2 linked regions of the Diceros bicornis minor genome follow. The protein of the gene in region 1 interacts with the protein of each later gene in a biochemical or structural test. Links are inferred from orthologs where the notes say so. Each region holds a gene or a part of one and is shown on either strand. Other genes may lie near its edges.

Region 1 (9,741 bases):
GACTTTTGACTTCTGGCCTTCTCACTGATCTTGATTGGAATGTGCATTGGTACAACCTTTTGTTGTACTCATTTGTCAATGTGTGTAGAAATGTTAAAACATCTAGGATTTTATCCTAAGGAGAGAGTTGGGCAAGCTTTCAAAGATGTAAGTACAAAAATGTTAATAGTCTCAAATTACATTGGATCCATTGGACCAAATTGGAAATAACCTAATTGTGTGCTTATGTCTAAATTATGATATATCCAATCAATAAAATACTAAGCGGTCGTGAAAGGATGATGTGTATTGGCTTTCTCTGACGTGGAAAGATACCTACAATACATTGAAAGAAACAGGCCATCATGTAACATGAACCATTTATGCACATATATATTTGCTTATACGTGCATATGCATAGAGAGAAGTCTGGAGAGATGGGTGCTGAAATATCAGAAAGCGTGATTTCTGAGTGGTGAGATTGAGATAATTTCTGCTTTCCTTTTTATTCTTTCTCTGCATTTGATTTTCTAAAACAACAAAAATTTTGAATTATTTTTTCTTTCTGAACTCTAGAGTCTTTCCAAAGAGCTCAAAATCTGAGAGCTGGAGATGACTCTTGAGGTCTCTTCTACTCATTCTTTCTATTGCTGTTTCCTCCTCAGTGAGTTCGTGCAGTAAGTCAAGGTTCAGGTTCTTCTCACCTGCAGCCTTCCTGCGGCTACAGAAAGTCTCTCCTCACCTTCACGCTGCAGATGAGTCCCTTCCATCTCCTAATATCCACTTCATTTTGACTGTACTGATTCTAAAGGCAGACCTAGCTTCAACTTCTGACACCCACAAAGTCACACTACACAGACAACATTTTGCACGTTGGTGTTTTCTGGAAGCTATATCATACTGAGATCAGGTAAGATTTCCTGTCCACTGTTACCACATAGCTTTCTGGTCAATGCTATATCCTGCTGGGCCAACTGTCTCTGTGACTTCCTTCCTTTATTTCTAACCTTTCCTATAGTTTTTGTATTTCAGTCTGTGAAAACTAGAAGTTGCCCTGCTGAGAGTGGTCATTACAGTTATCCCACACCTCACAGTGTCCATTTACCTCCCTATTGCTTCCTCCAGGCTCTGAGCGGTGTTGAAGGCACCAACTGAGGGTCTAGCATAGTGCCTGGCATATGAGAGACTTTATAATTTTATTTATTTATTTTTTTCCCCCAAAGCCCCAGTAGATAGTTGTATGTCATAGTTGCACATCCTTCTAGTTGCTGTATGTGGGACGCGGCCTCAGCATGGCCGGACAAGCGGTGCGTCGGTGCACGACCGGTACCCGAACCCCGGCAGCCAGCAGCGGAGTGCAAGCACTCAACCGCTAAGCCACGAGGCCGGCCCAGAGAGACTTTAAATAATTGTTGAGCAACTAGAATTGAATGGTCTGTACTGATCTGTGTGATAACAAAATTTCACAAGGACTATGATGAGAGCCATTTTGATGTGGGCTATTTGGCCTGAGCCTTAAGCCTGAGGGTTCCTGAAATTTTGTCTGCCTTTCAGTGACATGGGCAAGGAGTAGGGTGAGGCTTGATCATGTGCAGGTGCCCAACAAATATTGGTTCTTGCCTCTCCATTTGATTTATTATTATTATTTTTTACATTTCTTAGTGACTTTCTCTTTAGATGAATATATAAGCTAGATTGATACACCACAGAACAGTTGAGAATAAATGTCAATTTTTAAAGAGAATCCCAAAATAGACTACTTACCCTGAGATCTTGGTCAAGGTCACACCCTTGCAACTTCTTCTTTTTTCTCTTCCCACTGCTTGCCCCACCATAGCTAGTTCCTCCCCATCTCCCATCCAGAGACACAACAGTCTCTATGGCCATCATCTGTCAGCTTCGGTACATTCTCCATATCAGATTGGAGTTCCTAAACTCAGCACCAGTCTTGTCACTTCTCTGCTCAGAAACCATCCATGTTCCCCCATTAGCTACAGAATCATTTTTTTAAAGACCCCATAATACTATGCTACACCTACTTTTCTGAAAGTTGGTTTCCAAACTACCTTTCCAGCACCCTACGTGATTCATGTGTGCTTTAAAATATTCTATTCTAGACCTCTTTTCCTACCTCCACCCTTCCCTAAAACGCCTTCCATCCCATTTCCATGTAACCAAATCTTACCCACTCTTTAAGTCCCAGCTCAAATACCACCTCCTCTAAGCCTTCTTAGAAGGCTTGAAATCACCTTAGAATCTTCCCAGGCCTTAGCACAGTGTTTGAATAGATAGTAGGTATTCACTACATTTTTATAGACATTTTTTAAATTACAAAAATAATACGCACACAAATAAAACATTTAAACAGTAAAAAAAAGTTATCAAATGAAAAGAATGAATCCACAACCCTTTTCCTAACTCACTCCATCTAAATTCCCAGCTGTAACCACTATTATAAGTTTCTTGTATACCTTCTAGAAATTTTATATGAATATACAAGGATATAGGTATCTTTTTTTTTTTACACAAATGGAATCAAACTTTGCATCTTGCCTTTTTTACACAACAATAGATCTTAGAGGTTTTTCACACCATACATAGATTTGCCCAATCTTGTTAATGCCAATTTGCACATACTGTGGAGTCATAACTATAAGATAGATTTTTATTAGTGAAATTTGAGGTCAAGGGTTATATCCATGTATATTATGTTTTGGCCACATTACCATCCAAAGAGGCTGCATTAGCGTGTGCAAGGCTGTCTGCTTCCCAGCACTCTAATTACCTCTGAGTATTTTCATAGTTTTAATTCTTGCCCATTGAATAGGCAAAAATGGTATGTCATCATTCTTTGAATTTGTACTCATAGCTCCCTAATTCTAAGAAGCACTGAAGTGCATCCATAGAGAAATTTGAGTTTTAATTCCTATAACAGGTAGAAGAAAAAGTTCAGTGTTCTCTGTAAAGAGGAGGATACTTAAAGATAGTGGATTCCCGCTGATATGTGTTCTGAATTGCTTTCTAAACTGGGCTAAACATGGTAGCTCTGATACTCTGGCCTGGAATTTCATACTGAACTCAGACCTTTGGAAATGCCAGATGAATTTTAACACAAGCAAGTCATTTGAGAACTCCAGGTCTCTGTTTCTCATCTAGAAAATGGGGACTGCTTATGCTTGCCTTGACAGATGACAAGAAGGATGAAAGGAAATGATGTGTGTGAAGCCCTTTACAAATCTAACAAAATTTGAAATATAATAAGTATTTTAAGTATTGCAAGTGGAGCCAGCAGAATACATGTAAAAACGTGTTCTCTCAAGCTGAAATTTCATAAAAGGTCCCTAGCCTTTTCCATACGGTTATATTTCCAAATAAAGTGACTTCTACTGGAAAGGACCTTTCTCACATGGCTACCTTCTCTGCATTTCCCCTCACCGCCCATGCTTCCTGCAGCCCTTCCCTTCACCACCACTGCCCCCCACTTTGGCTATTCCAGAGAGTCTGCTCCTGTGGCATTTGTACCAGGGAGAGAAGCGCAGCTGGAGAAGCTTAGACAGACACATTCCTTCCAACCTCTCCTTGCAGTGTCCAGCTATTTCTCACCCTGCTCATTAGGACTTTGGTTATCATTACTACATTCAATACAAAGTTTCAAATGCATGGAAGATGAGGCTACTCACGAGACACAGAGGCACAGGACTCCTGGAAGAGACTCACTGTCTCTTAACAGAAAGTTGCCATCCACCCCTTCCTTGAGCAGCAAGGTCTCACAGTCTCTCTTGGACAGAGGCCCGTGGTAATAAGGCAGATCCATGGAGAGCCCTCTCGTATCCCTGAAATCCAGTGGGCGACGGCCTTGAGAAGGGAAGTGGAGGCAGCTGGCCTAATGGGGCCCGCTGTGGTACCTCTTTCTCCTCTGATTGGTAGCAATGAGATGAAGTTGTTCTGTGGGACTCCACCAATTTCGCAAGATTCAGGAAATGAGAAGGGTGGGGGTGATAAAGTGACCAAGACTTTTCAGCCTATAAGTGGCCCAAGTGTGACTCACAGAAGTGGCTGAGAGCATGTTTGATTACACAACAGAATCAGTGATGTACGGGGATGGGGCTGCAATGCTGAAGTCAAGCTCCCCGGCACTGGGTTGGAGCCTTGTATATCACCCTAAATCACCAGTTTTCCCCTTCTCTCTGGCTACTGGTGTCCCTTCCAGAGAGCACACCACTGTTTCTGCTATAATAGGTGCCCATTTTCTGCTGAAGCTGCCTGTGATTATGCTATGCTTAGCTCAGAACAGGTGCTCAAAAGTGTTTGGATGCTGAATGAATCCAGATATGTCTAGACACGATGGGACAATTGAAAAGGTAAGATTTCCATGGGTCAAATGACGTGAAAAATGGCAGATGTCAATGGAAACAGAAAGCAATTGGACACCATAGCAGAGAACAGCCCATTCCCTGGCTAAAGCTGCTAGCCACTGGTAAACAAAGGCCATTTTTAACATTCTCTGGCACTGTGCCTTTTGGGGAAGGAGCTGGTGCAGGTGGGAGGGATTATCTGGGTATACAAAGTTAGTGCAAGGATGCTTCTCTGGGTGGAAGAAAAGAGGATATTAGGCTTGGGTTTGAAGACCTTCAGGTCCTTTGAAGTTCCCGTCCTGGAGGACAGCAGTGATGTGTCCCCATGAAGAGAGACCAAGAAAAGTCTATCTAGTCAGAGATACTTGGCCCCCTTTAGACAATCTGATGTTGATGAGAAAATTCCTTTGTTTTCCTGCTGAGCCTTTTCCACTTTGATCAACTGACATTCTTGGGAAAGGTGGTTTCTGTTATCCGAGGGTCAGAGTTAACCCTAAGAGTAATTTCCAAGGCCTGTTTTTCCCCAACTTTATTGAAATTCACATATAACACTGTGTAAGTTTAAGGTGTACAGCGTGTTGATGTGATACACTTATACGTTATAAAATGATTATCACCATAGCAGTAGCTACCATCTCCACCTTGTCCCATAAATACCATTTCTTTTTTGTGGTGAGAACATTTAAGATCTACTCTCTTAGAAACTTTCAAGTATATAAGACAGTATTATTAACTATCATCAGTATGCTGTACATTAGATACCCAGAACTTATTCATCTACTAACTAGAAGTTTGCGCCCTTTGACCAACGTCTCACTATTTCCTCCAAGGCCTTTTTAAGCAACAAAACCATCCTACACATTATCAATTAATTAATTTTTAATTAATTAATTTCAGATAGAAGAAGTCATGCAAGCATATCTAGCATCCAATGTTTTAAAATGGATTACATTTACTAACTCTCACAATTAACATCACGCAATGTCAGTTGTTATAAACTGCATGTGAATTTCTCCCTATTCAACTGCCTTATCCAAATATCTATAGGAATTGCTACATATCTCAAATATATATCTATAAAGATAGAACCATGTGCTCATGAATCATCCTTACTTCTCTTAATGCTTTCTTAACCCAGATGATTATTTCATCTTGCTGCTTTGTTTACGAGCTGCCCACCCACTCTTGGGGATCTGTCTTGCATTGAACTTCTTAGTAGGAGATTTTCGTTCCTCCTTGGAAGTTCCACTGCTCCAGGGTTGGTGTAATGTGGTGTAATGGAGTGACACTAATCAAGGAACTTGTCATCAGAGAAATGTGCTTTCAAATCCTGATTTCTCTTGTGTGGCCTTGGGCAATTCACCATTTAACTTCCTGGGAATTATGGCAGTTCAGGAGAGAATTTTTACTGATGAAAGAGGAAATTGGCTACCAAGCTTGATGCAAGGATATTTTTTTTAAAATAAGGGAGGAAATAATTGGATGCATGTTCAAGATCTTTAGCATCACAGGGTCTTTAATGCCTTTTTTTCCTGTGTCAAAACCCAATGCCCTCATCCTTGCTCAACATAAGAACAACGCAAATTAAATACATACTGAGATAACATCTCCCACCTATCATATTGGTGCAAATCAAAAGTTTGAAAACATACTGGGTTGGTCATGCTGGGGTGAAATAGAATAAAATCTCATACATTGTTGGCTGGAATATGAAATGGTTACAACTACAATGGAGGAGAGTTTGGCGATATCTAGCAAATTTGTATAGGCATTTACCCTCTGATAGAACCATCTCAATTCTATTTTGTACTAAATAATTCAGGCAAAGATAGTCAGTGGGTGAAAACTTTAGGGAAATGTTTGATAATGGTCTTTACAAGGGAGAGATCATGCTGTCACCACCTAAACCCACTGACCAATCTTAGCACATCTAAGAGTGGGACAACCAGATATTGAATGCCTACTAATTTGATGCAGCAGGAAACACACAGCACCACTGTGGAGTGTACTTTCAAAAAAAGTTGAACTTGGGGCCAGCCCCTTGGCTTAGTGGTTCAGTCCAGTGTGCTCCACTTTGGTGGCCCAGGTTCACGCGTTCGGATTCCAGGAGCAGACCTACACCACTTGTCAGCCATGCTGTGGCGGCGACCCACATACAAGATAGAGGAATATTGGCACAGATGTTAGGTCAGGGTGGATCTTCCTCAAGCAAAAAAAGAGGAAGATTGGCAACAGATGCTAGCTCAGAGTGAGTCTTCCTCACCAAAAAAAAAAAGTTGAACTTGAAATGAATCAAGCCCTTATAACTAACTTCTATTCATGGGACCCTCATGAGGAAGCGGACAAACAAATCCTATGTGGGACATTGACTAGGACAACAAATGTGGTTTCCTCATATGTCAATGTCATAAAAACTGAGTCATATAGTAGGGTGAGGACTGCTCTAGGTTAAAAGAGATTTATGAGGCATAAAACAAATGCAACATGAGGATCTTGTATGGATTCTGGTTTGAAAAAATCAGCTACAAAAAAATTTCCTGCCATTGAGGAAATTTAAATATTGACTAGATAGTAGATGATACCAAGGAATTATTGTTGATTTTGTTAGGTGTAGTAATGGCATTGTGCTTCTGTGAGTAAATAGCCATAGCTGGGTGATGGTGTATGAGGGTCTTTATATTAATGTCTCTATTTTTGTATGTATTGAACATTTTTCACACTAAAAAACCCTTCCATTCTCATGTTATTCTGATCCCATATCACCTTTGAGAATAGTTGCACAGTACATATTAACATCTTTAATTTCTCACATGGATCCCCTTTCTCTCATCCATAGAAATCAAAGCCTAGTGCCGTGTTTGTAGAACATGACCCTATCCCTCTAGCCATGGTTGATTGGACCAAGGGTAGGCCCCTGACCCAAGATGGGCTAATCAGACACACTTACTAAGGAATTTGGAGGGAATGAAAAAAGGAAGAAAGAGAGAGGTGCAGGGGATTGGAGGGAGGGAGGAAATAAGAATGGAAATGAGTTTTCTAGGAATAGCTGTATAACAGGTACATTGTTGTGCTGTGAACTGGTGGCCATATCCCACCCAGCGGCCAGAATAAGAGAGAAAACTGGTCCACACAATGAAGAATAAAGTAGACTCATGGAGAGAAGCAGAGTCAAGAGAAAGTCCTACTAAGGCAACCTACTGAATGGGAGAAAATATTTGCAAATCATAGATCTGATAAGAGATTAATATCCAAATTATAAAGAATTCATACAACTCAATAGCAAAAAAGCAAATAATCCAATTTAAAAATGGACAAAGGACTTGAATACACATTTTTGTGAAGAAGATATACAAATGGCCAAGAGGTACATGAAAAGATGCTCAACATCACTAATCACTAGGGAAATGCAACTCAAAACCAAATGAGATATCACCTCACACTGGTTGGAATGGCTATCATCAAAAAGACAAAAGATAGCAAATTCTGGCAAGGATGTGGAGAAAAGGGAACCCTTGTGCACTGTTGGTGGGATTATAAATTGGTGCAGCCACTATGGAAAACAGTATGGAGGTTCTTTAGAAATTAAAAACAGAACTACCATATGATCCAGCAATTCCCCTTCTCAGTATATATCGGAAGGAAATGAAATTACTATGATGAAGAGATATATGCACCCTCATGTTCGTTGGAGCATTATTTACAATAGCCAAGACATGGAAACAACCTAACTATCCATCAACAGATGAATGGGTAAAGAAGATGTGGTATATATATACAGTGGAATATTATTCAATCATGAGAAAGAAAGAAACTGTCCCTTCCCTTGTTGGGGTGGTGTTGCATCTGGATGGGATGCCTGGACCTTCGGCAATCATTGTGGGATCAAAAGAGCTAGGCTGCCTGCTGAGAAGGGCAAAGTGGGGAAAGAGAGAAAGAATCTGGGTCCTTGTCAATGGCATTGAGCTGCTTTACCAACTGCCCTAGGAGCCCATCCCTCCTGTGGACTTCCAGTGGAGCGGGAGAATAAATTTCCTGCCTGGTTAAGCTATTTGATTAGGGTTGATTAGCACAAAGAATCTTAATGGATACACTGACATATGGCATTGATTTTTTTTTATTAGTTCCAGTACTATCTTCATTGATAGTGGTTTTTTTTAAATGTAATTACTTAGCTATTAATAGTGTGCAGCAGTTTCCACAACAATGTTGAAATCCCACTACTTTTAGATTTTCCCATACCTTGACTATCAGCTTTCCTAAAGTCCCTCTACCATAGATTATCTCTCATTTTTCCTCTCCTCATTCCTCAAATAATTTTTTTTTTTTTGTGAGAAAGATCAGCCCTGAGCTAACATCCGTGCTAATCCTCCTCTTTTTGCTGAGGAAGACCGGCTCTGAACTAACATCTATTGCCTAATCCTCCTCCTTTTTTTTTTACCCCAAAGCCCCCCAGTAGATAGTTGTACGTCATAGTGACACATCCTTCTAGTTGCTGTATGTGGGACGCGGCCTCAGCATGGCCGGATAAGCGGTGCGTTGGTGCGTGCCCAGGATCCGAACCCAGGCCGCCAGTAGCGGAGGGCGTGCACCCAACCGCTAAGCCACAGGGCCAGCCCGTCAAATAAATTTTTAAAGACCTGATATTACTATGTTGATTATTGAAAATAATAGCTGGGTGTTAAATTAATATGAACATACTGTGACATGCAGATAAACTTCTGAGCTATTTAATAAATGAATACAGGTAGTATATCCATCTCACTGCCTTAACTACTTTATGTATCAGAACATAGTTTTCATATGCATCATTTTATTTAAAAATGGAAATACTCAGAAGTAAACAAAATAAAATTAAAAAACCCCTGAAGAGTGCAAACAAAAGTCAAAGGGGCTGAGGCACTCCCGTCAAATATAAAAGGTAAACTTGGTGAGTACAAATTTTAGGAGAAGATGCGATTAGGAAATTTGTTACTTAGACAAGTAAACGTTAGGTAACTTGATTATTCCATGCAGTTTGGTTTAGGTGAACTGGTTTGACTCTTTTTGGAACAATACACGAGAAACTGAGGTTAAAATGCTCTTCCTGCAACAAGACTTGGGCATTGGGCTAATTCCTAGGGAAGAGGATCATAGTCTCCAATGTAGAGACACAGATGAGTGGGCAGAGAAAAGTTAAGGGGATCTACTTCATCCTCCAAGGGAGAAACCTGGACTTACTCCCTGAAGGAACCAGATGCATCAGGTGTATTAGTTTCTTATTGCTGCTGTAACAAATTACCACAAACTTAGGAGCTTAAAACAACACAAAGTCATGATCTCAGCTTCCTTGGGTCAGAAGTCTGGCAGTCTCTGCTTAGAATCTCACAAGGCCAAAATCAAGATGTCGGTGGGCCTGCGCTCCTTTTTG
Region 2 (10,068 bases), about 3.8 Mb from region 1:
AGGACCTCTGGTCAGAGGCTGTGATGAAGAGAGTCACTGGTTGGGAAGCCAGGATGCTCAGGGGCAGCCCAGTCCTAGGTAGCTTCAGGCAAGTCACTTTGCCACCCTTAGCCATAAAGTGTCAGGAGAGAGAGTAGCAAGTCTTAGGGGGATGTTACACCCCCCTGTTTAGCCTCATTGTGCAACCCACCTAAGATTGCTTGGGGACAGCTGTTTTCCACATACATATGGTCCTCCTCACTCTCAGGGTGGGGATCCACATAGGTAAGAGGAAGGAAGTGGTGTTTTGTCACAGGTGATAGAGGGGAGGGGCAGAAAACAGTGCTAACCCAGGATTCTTCTGTTGCTCATGTCTTCATCTGTGCCAGAGGGAATGTCCCACAGATAATGGGCTATTGGCCACCATAAGCCTGAAGACTGGCTAAGTTTCTTGCCCAGTGTAATGCAAGTGGTGAGTAGATAGAGCACAGACTCCAGAGTTAGATATTGCAGAATTTGAATCCAATGTTCTCACATTTTGGCTCTGAGCCGTTAGACAAGTTATTTAGCAGCTCTGTTCCTCAATTTGTAAAATTGTGATAATTCTGCCTGCTTTTTACTATTATGAAGATTAATGGAATAATGTCCTTGGAAGCCCCAGACATTTAGGGAATTCAGTTAGTGGGATTTCCTCCTTCTTACCCTCTTGAGTGTTCATGGGGATAATGAGTACACTCCAGGGAGAAAGAGGTCTTGACCCAGAGTCAGGTTCCCAAGTTTGGTCTGGGCCCGGCCTTACACCACCACCAGCTCTGCCTCCTTCATAGGGCTGTTGTAAATGTCAAATAAGGCAGCGAAAGTGAAGACTTTTGACAATGGCTTTGTAACTACAAGGCATCATCTTTTGTTGTTGGTCTGTCAAAGTCTGTTCTCTACAGATTCATAGGTGATGGAAGCAGCTTCGTGTACCAAGTTTAATAACTGTAAACCTCTGGTTAGTTACGTTGCCCTTCAGGTCCTGTATTAGGCTTCCTTAACAAAGCCAGGTCCTATTGCTTCCTTAACAAATTACCACAAACTTGATGGCTTAACTGTAGGTTTTTGTAGACATTCTTTATCAAGTTGAGGAAGTTCTCTCCTATTCCTAGTTGACTGGGAGTTTTTATCATGAATGGGTGTTTAATTTTGACAAATGCTTTTTCTGCATCTATTGATATGATCACGTTATCCTTCTTCCTTAGCCAGTTGATATGATGGGTTAATTTATTTTAGTCTTCATACCCGGGATAAATCCCACTTGGTCATAGTGTATAATTATTTTTATACATTGTTGGATTCAAATGAGGATTTTTGTAACTATGTTCATGAGAGATATTGGTCTGTGATTTTCTTTTCTTGTAATGTCTTTGTCTGGTTTCGATATTAGAGTGAGTTAGAATATAGAATAGAATGAGTTAGGAAGAATTCTCTCCACTTCTATCTTTTGAAAGAGATTGTGGAGAATTACTATAATTTCTTCCTTAAATGTTTAGTAGAATTCACCAGTAAGCCCATCTGGAACTGGTGCTTTCTGTTTTGGAAATTTCTTAATTATTGATTCAATTTCTTTAATAAACGTAGGCCTATTCACATTGTCTATAACATCTTGTGTGAGTTTTGGCAGATTGTATCTTTCAAGGAATTGGTCCATTTCATCTAGGTTATCAAATTTGTAGGCATAGAGTTGTTCAAAGTATTCCTTTATTATACTTTTAATGTCGATGGGGTTGGTAGTGATGGTCCTCTTTCATTTCTGATATCAGTAACTTGTGTCCTTTGTCTTTTTTTCTTATCTGGCCTGGCTAGAAGTTTATCAATTTTGCTGATCTTTTCAAAGAACTAGCTTTTGGTTTTGTTGATTTTTTCTATTGATTTCTTGTTTTCAATTTCACTGCTTTCTGGGCTAATGTTTATTATTTCTCTTTTTCTGCTTATTTCAAATTTAATTTTCTCTTCTTTTTCTAGTTTACTAAAATGGAAGCTTAGATTATTGATTTTATGTCTTTATTCTTTTCTAATATATGCATTCAATGCTATAAATTTCCCTCTAAGGCTTATTTTTGCTGCATCTTGCAAATTTTGATACATTGTGTTTTCATTTTCATTTTGTTTAAAATTTCTCTTAAGATTTCTTTTTTGACCTATGTGTTATTTAGAAGTGTGTTGTTTAATCTCCACATATTTTGGGGTTTTCCAGTTATTTTTCTATTATTGATTTTTAGTTTAATTCTATTGTGGTCTGGGATCAGATATTGTACAATTTCTATCCTTTTAAATTTGTTAAGGCGTGTTGTATGGCCCAGAAGGTGGACTATCTTGGTGAATTTTCCATGTGAGCTTGAGAAGAATGTGTATTCTGCTGTTGTTAGATGAAGTCATCTATAGATGTCCATTATATCCAGTTGATTGGTGGTGCTGTTGAGTTCAATGATGTCCTAACTGATTGTCTGCCTGTTGGGTATGTTTATGCCTAAGAAGGGTATTGAAGTCTCCAACAATAATAGTGGATTAATCTATTTCTACTTGCAGTTCTATCAGTTTTTCCTTATGTATTTGAAGCTGTGTTGTGAGGCACGTACATGTTAAGGATTGTTATGTCTTCTAGGAGAATTTACCCCTTTGTCATTAGGTAACATCTCTCTTTATCTCTGATGAATTTTGTTGCTTTGATTTCTGTTCTGTCTGGAATTAATATAGCTACTTCCACTTTCTTTTGATTAGTGTTAGCACATTTTCTCTTTCTCCATCCATTTACTTTTAATCTATATATGCCTTTATATTTAAAGTCGGTTTCTTGTAGACAACACATAGTTGGGTCTTGTTTTTTTGATCTATTCTGACAATCTCTGTCTTTTAAGTCGTTCATTTAGACCATTGACGCTCAAAGTGATTATTGATATCTATCATATTTGTTATTATTTTCTATTTGTTGCCTTTGTTGGATTAATATCTATCATATTTGTTACTATTTTCTATTTGCTGCTCTTGTTCTTTGTTGCTATTATTACCTTCCATTCTTTTTCTGCCTTTTGTGGTTTTAATTGAACATTTTGTATGATTCCATTTTCTCTCCTTTCTTAATATATCAGTTATAAGTTTTTTTTTCTTCTTTTAGTGGTTGCCCTAGATTTTGCAATATACATTTGCAACTAATCCAAACACACTTTCCATAACACTACACTACTTAATGGGTAGTGTAAGTACTTTATAATAACAAAATAATCCTAATTCCTCCCTCCTATCCTTGTATCATTGCTGTCATTCACTTCACTTATAGATAAGCATACATAAGCATATATATGTACATAAGATATATACATAAGCATACATAATTGAATACAACGTTGCTATTATTATTTTGAACAATGTGTTATCTGTTAGATCAAAATTAAGAGTAAGAAAAATAAAGATTTTTATTTTACCATCACTTATTCCTTCTCTGATGCTCCTCCTTTATTTATGTAGATCTCAGTTTCTGACCTATATTTTCCTTCTTTCTAGCGAACGTCTTTTAACATTTCTAGCAAAGCAAAACTACTGACAACAAATCCCCTCAATTTTTGTTCATCTGAGAAAGTCTTTATTTCTTCTTCATTTTTGAAGACTAATTTTACAGGAAACCTAATTCTAGGTCAGTGGGATTTTTTCCTTCAACACTTTAAATATTTCACACCGTTCTCTTCTTGCTTGCAGTCAATTTTTTTAAGTTAAAGAATTGTGAAACATCAAAGACATATATTGTAATCTCACTTGCTTGTCAGTGACACTAGTGACTTTTTGCTGAATAAGATGATAGTTTTTAGTACTGGAAAAATATTTCCTCAAATTTTTTATGCTCCTTACAACTTAAAGGCTACAGTCATGACATATTTTTAAGTTTAATGTGCGTCATTAATGTTTCTCCACCACTTTCTTACATCTAGATAATCGACAAAACAATATATCAAAGCTCTGATTTATATCAATTGCCAATTTTCATGGTATATATTCTCCCACCCTGGCTGATTTCAAGCTACCAACATGACGTCACTGAATGCAGAGCTGGGAAGAGAAGTGCAGCAGCACATGATCTGGTATTTTATTTCCACCACAGAGATGTAATTGATGTAAATGTCCTCAAGAGCGTAGATAATAGTAAAATGTCATACAATAATTAGGAAGTAACAAGCTTTCAGTTTTCATTCCTTTTTTAAATATAATTTGTTAATTGTACATTTCTATAATTCAAATTTTAATAATGGTAATGTTTACCAACCAACCAGCTCACAAGAGTCCTGAAAATTTCACAACTGGCTCTCACGAGTTGAGAGGCTCCAGCACACCACTGGGCAGTGTTGTGGGGAGGATGGATGAGTGTCAGGTGAGGTAGGGGGGAAAACAGTGAGCATAAAGAGCAAATTCACATATACCACCAACTCTTATTACCCTGATCCCCTCAGGAAGGCCCATTGGAGAGTGCCTTTGACCTGTTAAAATGGACTTCAAAAACATTAGCCTAGCCTTTCAAAGTCTCCTTGTGAGCATCAGTAATGGCAACTTTCCAGTGTTTTATTTTTATAACTTAACTCATGGAAAAGCATAGGGTCTTTTTTCTGTCAATTCTAGTCCCTTATCCTCAACAAAAAGTTGAGCCAGCCCTGATGGCCTAGTGGTGAAAGTTCGGCACACTCTGCTTCGGCAGCCCAGGTTCAGTTCCCAGGTGCTGAACCACACCACTCGTCTGTCAGTAGCCATGCTGTGGCGGCAGCTCACATAGAAGAACTAGAAGGACCTACAACTAGAATATACAACTATGTACTAGGGCTTTGGGGAGGTAAAAAATAAAAGAGAGAGGAAGATTGGCAACAGACGTTACCTCGGGGCAAATAAAAAAAAAAAGTTAGACACAAGCTCTAAAATAAAGGTGACCCATCCCAACACAGCACAGGGCTCACTAAATTCTACCACATTGTACCCAGCAGGAAAATTGAGTTTCTGTCAATGATCCGCCCTTGCCCACCCCATCTCTCTGTAACTTTGGCACCAGGACCTGACTGCATATCGAGGTGTCCTCTGAAATTATGGAACAAGTCAAAAGTAAGAAGTCTACCAGCTCCTTAAAGTTCAGTCATCCAAGTTCAGCTTTGAACTAACTGACCCAAATGTGGAGGTGGTCTGGCAAAGCTCCATTTTTCTTTGCATTCAAAGAAGAAAAGTTACCAGAGAAAAACTGCTCAGAGAAGCTCAGCACCCCTTTCCTGGAAACAGCTAAGAAGAGGAAGAGGGGGGAGCAAATTCCTGCCCAAAGTCGGGGTTTGACCGAGGTGACTACACAGCTCCCTTCCCGGCTCTAGTAGTCTCAGCACCTGACTCGGACTTCTCGAGAAGACAAAGTGATTTAAAGCCTGAAAAGAGATGAGCAATCCTCGAGACCATAGGCAGAAAAAGTCCCCATGAGACAGGAAGCCTGCTGGTTCCTGATGCTTAAACTAGACAGTAGAGGCAGCACTGCCTAATACAGAGCTTGCTTCTGCTGTGGCATCTGCGACCAGCTGCCAGGCTCCTCGCCAGTCTCCCTTTCCTCTCCTCACTGGCTGATGGATCCCAAGGGGTCCCTCTTCTTGAACCTCCTGCTGTTTCTCTCCCTGGCTTTTGAGCTGAGCTGCGGATCAGGTGAGTGTTTATCTGCTAGAGGGTTTGAGTCCCGCGATCACCTGCCAGGAATCAGCTAGCCCCATGGGTGGAGAGAAGACGCAGGGGCTAGAGGCTGTGGTTCACTTGCCTCTTCCTTAGGGGCTGGCTCTGAGTTTCACCTGCTTCTTTCAAAGAGGAAGGAACATTGTGAGTTCCTGGGCCCCTGGGTTCCGAGGCTCAGCCCCACGAATCCTAGTTTCCAAGGAAACCAGGAGCTCTAAGCCAAAGGCAACAGTCACATTCAAAACCAGCCTCTCACCATGAAAGGCTCAGGTCAAAGTCCTGATTGAGTGATTGCTTTTGCATAAGTATCATTCTGGCAAGGATCCAGGCTAAGGGACCGAGCTGGAGGGATGCAGCTCTGGGAGAATATTACTCCTACACCCCTGCCCTGGGAGGGAATCCTCACACACAGAATGAGCAGACAAACCAGAAAGATGGTCCAACAACAAGGAAGGGCTGTAGTGAGAAGAGAGGGTAGAAGTGAAAACCCCAGGCGTTTGGTTGAGAACAGACAGTGGCCACAGTGTGGTCATACTGGTGGCTACTTTCCTGGAAGAGAAGGTTCCAAGGCAGCAAGAGGGGGAGAGGCCAGGATTTCTGGAGCCCAAGGCTGATTACAGTAAGGGGGAAATGCAAATTGGGAACCCTCCGTGTCAGGGCTGCTCCAGCGTACACACAGCAGAGCGTTTGGAGCAGGGCTCTTGTCTTTCTGGTTTGTCTTCCTCCAAAGGTAAGCTGGTGTTCTGTGTTTAGTAGTATCAGGGCTACGAGAAAAGGTATTTGGGAAAGAAAAATCCAAGCAAGTGTACTTCGGGCTCACTGTGGAGTGGGATGAGCATCTCCTTTCTGCTTAAATGCCTTGGGACTTTGGTTAGACTGTGGGAGGCAGCCTGGAGCAGAAGCGGCTTTAGGGAGGGGGGGAAATCCTGAGGCTCTGGTTGTTTTGCACTTGGGGTTTTTAAGACCGCAAATCCATTATGGACTTTTCCAGGAAAAGCCCAGAGATATGCTAGGGATGTTGGAGGGGCTGCATGTGGGATCTATCTTTTGCCAGACTCCCAGATGAAGAGGCCCTTCCTTGGCCCCACTTTTCCTCAGAATCAGGCAGACCATGGCTCTTGCTTCACGAGGTCTAGGAGAGGAATAATTGAGCTTAGGGCTTAAAAAGCCAAACTGAACCACTTTAAGCCCTCACAGGGAGAGCCAAGCCTTCCTGGATGAACCCCATCTATGACTCTGCCATTTTTGGAATACTTCTTAGTGACTGTCAGGAGTGATGGGGTGGAACAGTGGGCTGGACTTTTCCATCTCTGTGCTACTTGCCTCCTGGCCAGCCTGGCAGATGGGTCTCTGGTGCTGCTGACAAATCCTCCACTGAAGGCTCTAGAGGTCACTGGTTGGTGAGAAACAGCCCAGCCCCATAGGGCGTGTTTACCCAATCATCAGCAGCTCCCTTCCTTGCATAACATCTTCTCTGAAATATGTACAAAATTTTTACAGTGTTTTTATTTTTAAATATGCACTCTTTTGTGAAACCCCAATAAAACCCAGACGGAAATGCTTTGCAAGTGAGACAGGTCAGCCATGACAGATTTAGCCAACCAAGAAGCCAGATTCTTGTAAAATCGTCTCTACTCAGCTCACCTTCCAATTCCGTCAGAGTTGTAAAAGTCAAAAAGTCCACGCGTCCCTTCCCCTAATAAAGTGAATTTTTCATTTCCCCCAATAGTATTTTTTTAATAGACTTTATTTTTAGAGCAGTTTTGGGTTCACAGCAAAACTGAGTGGAAGGTACAGAGATTTCCCCCTACCCCCACACATGCATAGCCTCACCTATTATCAACATCCCCCGCCAGAGTGGTACATTTGTTACAACTGATGAATCTACCCCAATGGAATTTTTTATGCCTCCATACAGGTTCTCCCCACCTCCTTCACACACATGAGGGGAGAGATGAGGAACAAGTGCGTGGGTTCCAGACTTGGCCCAACCATATGTGTTCACTGGTCCATTCTATCCCGTGCTGTAGATCTAGGCACTTCTATTTCTCAAAAGCTTTAATACTGTGATATAATGCCATCACCTTCACAGTCTCCAGTGCTGGACTGGAAATCAGAACATCAGGGCTATTTTGTTTTATCCATAGATTGACTTTGGATAATCCCATTCAGCAACTATCTATTAAGGACTTATGATGTGGCAGGTACTGTGTGAGGTGTGGGGAAAAGAAAATGAACAACAAACCCTCTGGCCAGCACCCGACACGGTGTCTGGTACATGAGAGCCTCTCCACAAATGCTTGTTGAATGAATAATAATAGTATGTACAGCATGCTTGATATATACCAGGCACTGTTTTAAGTGCTTTACGTGTATTATTCATTTAATTCTCACTCCAACCCCATGAAATATGAGTTATTACTGTTAGCATTACAGTTTTATAAAAGAAGAAAGAGAGGCACAGAATAGTTTAGCAATTTCTCTGTGGTCACACAGCCTGACTCCAGAAGCCTCAGTGAATGAAACTGGATAAGCTTATGTTTAGGGAAGGAAAGAATGCTAAAATTTGTATCCAGGTGCCATGGTAAAAATTAGAATGTGCTATCTATAATTAGAAGCAGATGAATTGATTTTAATTTTATGGAAATGAATTCAAGTATAGGAATTTTCAAAAGGTGAGAGAAGTTGATATAATTATAGAGGCAGTCTCATCTGGAGGTATCTGATCTGGAATTTGGAAAGTGAATAGAAACTTCTTTCATCATGTAAGTTTTCATTTAATTTTTTTGCTATCTAAATAGTTTATTGAAAATATGTTTATATAAACTACGTCTATAAAACTTCAACAATAGGAAAAGGTATTGAATGGAGACAAATCTCCCTTCCATACCCCTCGCTGGAGGCAACTACTGTTACCAGTTTCTCGTGTGTCCTTCCAAATATAAATGTCTGGTAGGTTAGATTTTTATAGGACTTGAAGAATATTCTAGATGAAGGCACAAATACAGAGGTGAAGTGTCGCGAGTATTCAGGGGGAATGGTAAGTGGTCTATTAGACCTGAAACGTAAGGTTCACAGCTAAGGCACTTCCATCTCCTCACCTGGCAAGTGGGGAGAAGGGTCCCCATCATTTCCCTCCATACTCTACCTCTTAGGGATGTTATAAAGGTAAAGCAGAGCACATTCCAACTTTGGAGAGAGGAGAACTTAGACTCCATGTTGTCATTTTTCCACTTCTTCATTCTTTCATCTCATGCAATTTTTTCATTCTCTTGGGCAACAAGGATTTATTGAGTTTCTACTATGTCTCAGGTGGGTGTTGATTACAGCAGTGGGCAAAACAGACACAGTCCCCGAACTCTTGGAAGCTTATAATTGAGGATTATAAGGATGGCAGAAAATGAACCAGAGTTAAAAGCGTGATGAGTGATATAAAGGAGAGATGCAAAGTGCACTAGAAGCACATGGCTGGGAAACCTAATCCACACTAGGAGTCAGAGGCAGAGACCTGAAGGACACAAGGCATTAGCCAGGCACTTAAAGGGCCATAATAGGCTTTCAGGCTGGGGGACGGAAAGTGTAAATACTCTAAGATAGAAAGACCCAGCAGTGTCAAGGAATGGGAATAGGAGGACGGCTGGTGGGACTACCGTTTAAAAAGCAGCCTTATGGGCCGGCCCCGTGGCTTAGCAGTTAAGTGCGCGCGCTCCACTACTGGCGGCCCAGATTTGGATCCCGGGCACATACCAGGGCACCGCTTGTCCAGCCATGCTGAGGCCGCGTCCCACATACAGCAACTAGAAGGATGTGCAACTATGACTTACAACTATCTACCGGGGCTTTGGGGGAAAAAAGGAGGAGAATCGGCAATAGATGTTAGCTCAGAGCCGGTCTTCCTCAGCAAAAAGAGGAGGATTAGCATGGATGTTAGCTCAGGGCTGATCCTCCTCACAAAAAAAATAAATTAATTAAAAAAAAAGCAGACTTAGACAAGTTATCTTTTCTTCCTGGGCCTAGATTTGCTATGAGAACTGTGAAGTCTGTAAGTCCTGCCTCTTCTCTACCTGAAAGAAATGTAGCAGATGCGACAAGCGCATGTGAAAGGATCAGGGCTGGGCAAAAAAAAAACGGGGCTGACGGGAGTGTCATCAGGGAGAATCCCTCTTGTGAAAGGGTTGGCTACATGTTACTGATTTCAAGAAAATATCCATGGGCCCATGTGAATCATTCTACTTTCTAAGTAGAATTACCCCTGAAGGGAAGTGAGTTGGTGTTAACAGCTACAAATTGTTCCTCCAGACTCTTTTAGTAAACAGGGGCTGACTGAATCACATCCCCACTGGAAAACACTCATCAGGTAGTCGGATGTTTCAG

Evidence for each region.
Region 2: the proteins of SH2D1B (region 1) and SLAMF1 interact in a test that uses a peptide from one of them, tested with the Homo sapiens proteins (2 studies listed by BioGRID). The link is inferred for Diceros bicornis minor from reciprocal best matches to the Homo sapiens genes SH2D1B and SLAMF1.

Annotation. Positions count from the first base shown.
Region 1 is NC_080743.1:69,029,191-69,038,931, forward strand, and holds the start of SH2D1B (SH2 domain-containing protein 1B), read right to left. Parts: upstream 3,872-9,741; 5' UTR 3,794-3,871; coding exon 3,660-3,793; intron 1-3,659. UniProt on the Homo sapiens protein: Cytoplasmic adapter regulating receptors of the signaling lymphocytic activation molecule (SLAM) family such as CD84, SLAMF1, LY9 and CD244. In SLAM signaling seems to cooperate with SH2D1A/SAP.
Region 2 is NC_080743.1:65,245,657-65,255,724, reverse strand, and holds the start of SLAMF1 (signaling lymphocytic activation molecule), read left to right. Parts: upstream 1-5,541; 5' UTR 5,542-5,594; coding exon 5,595-5,670; intron 5,671-10,068.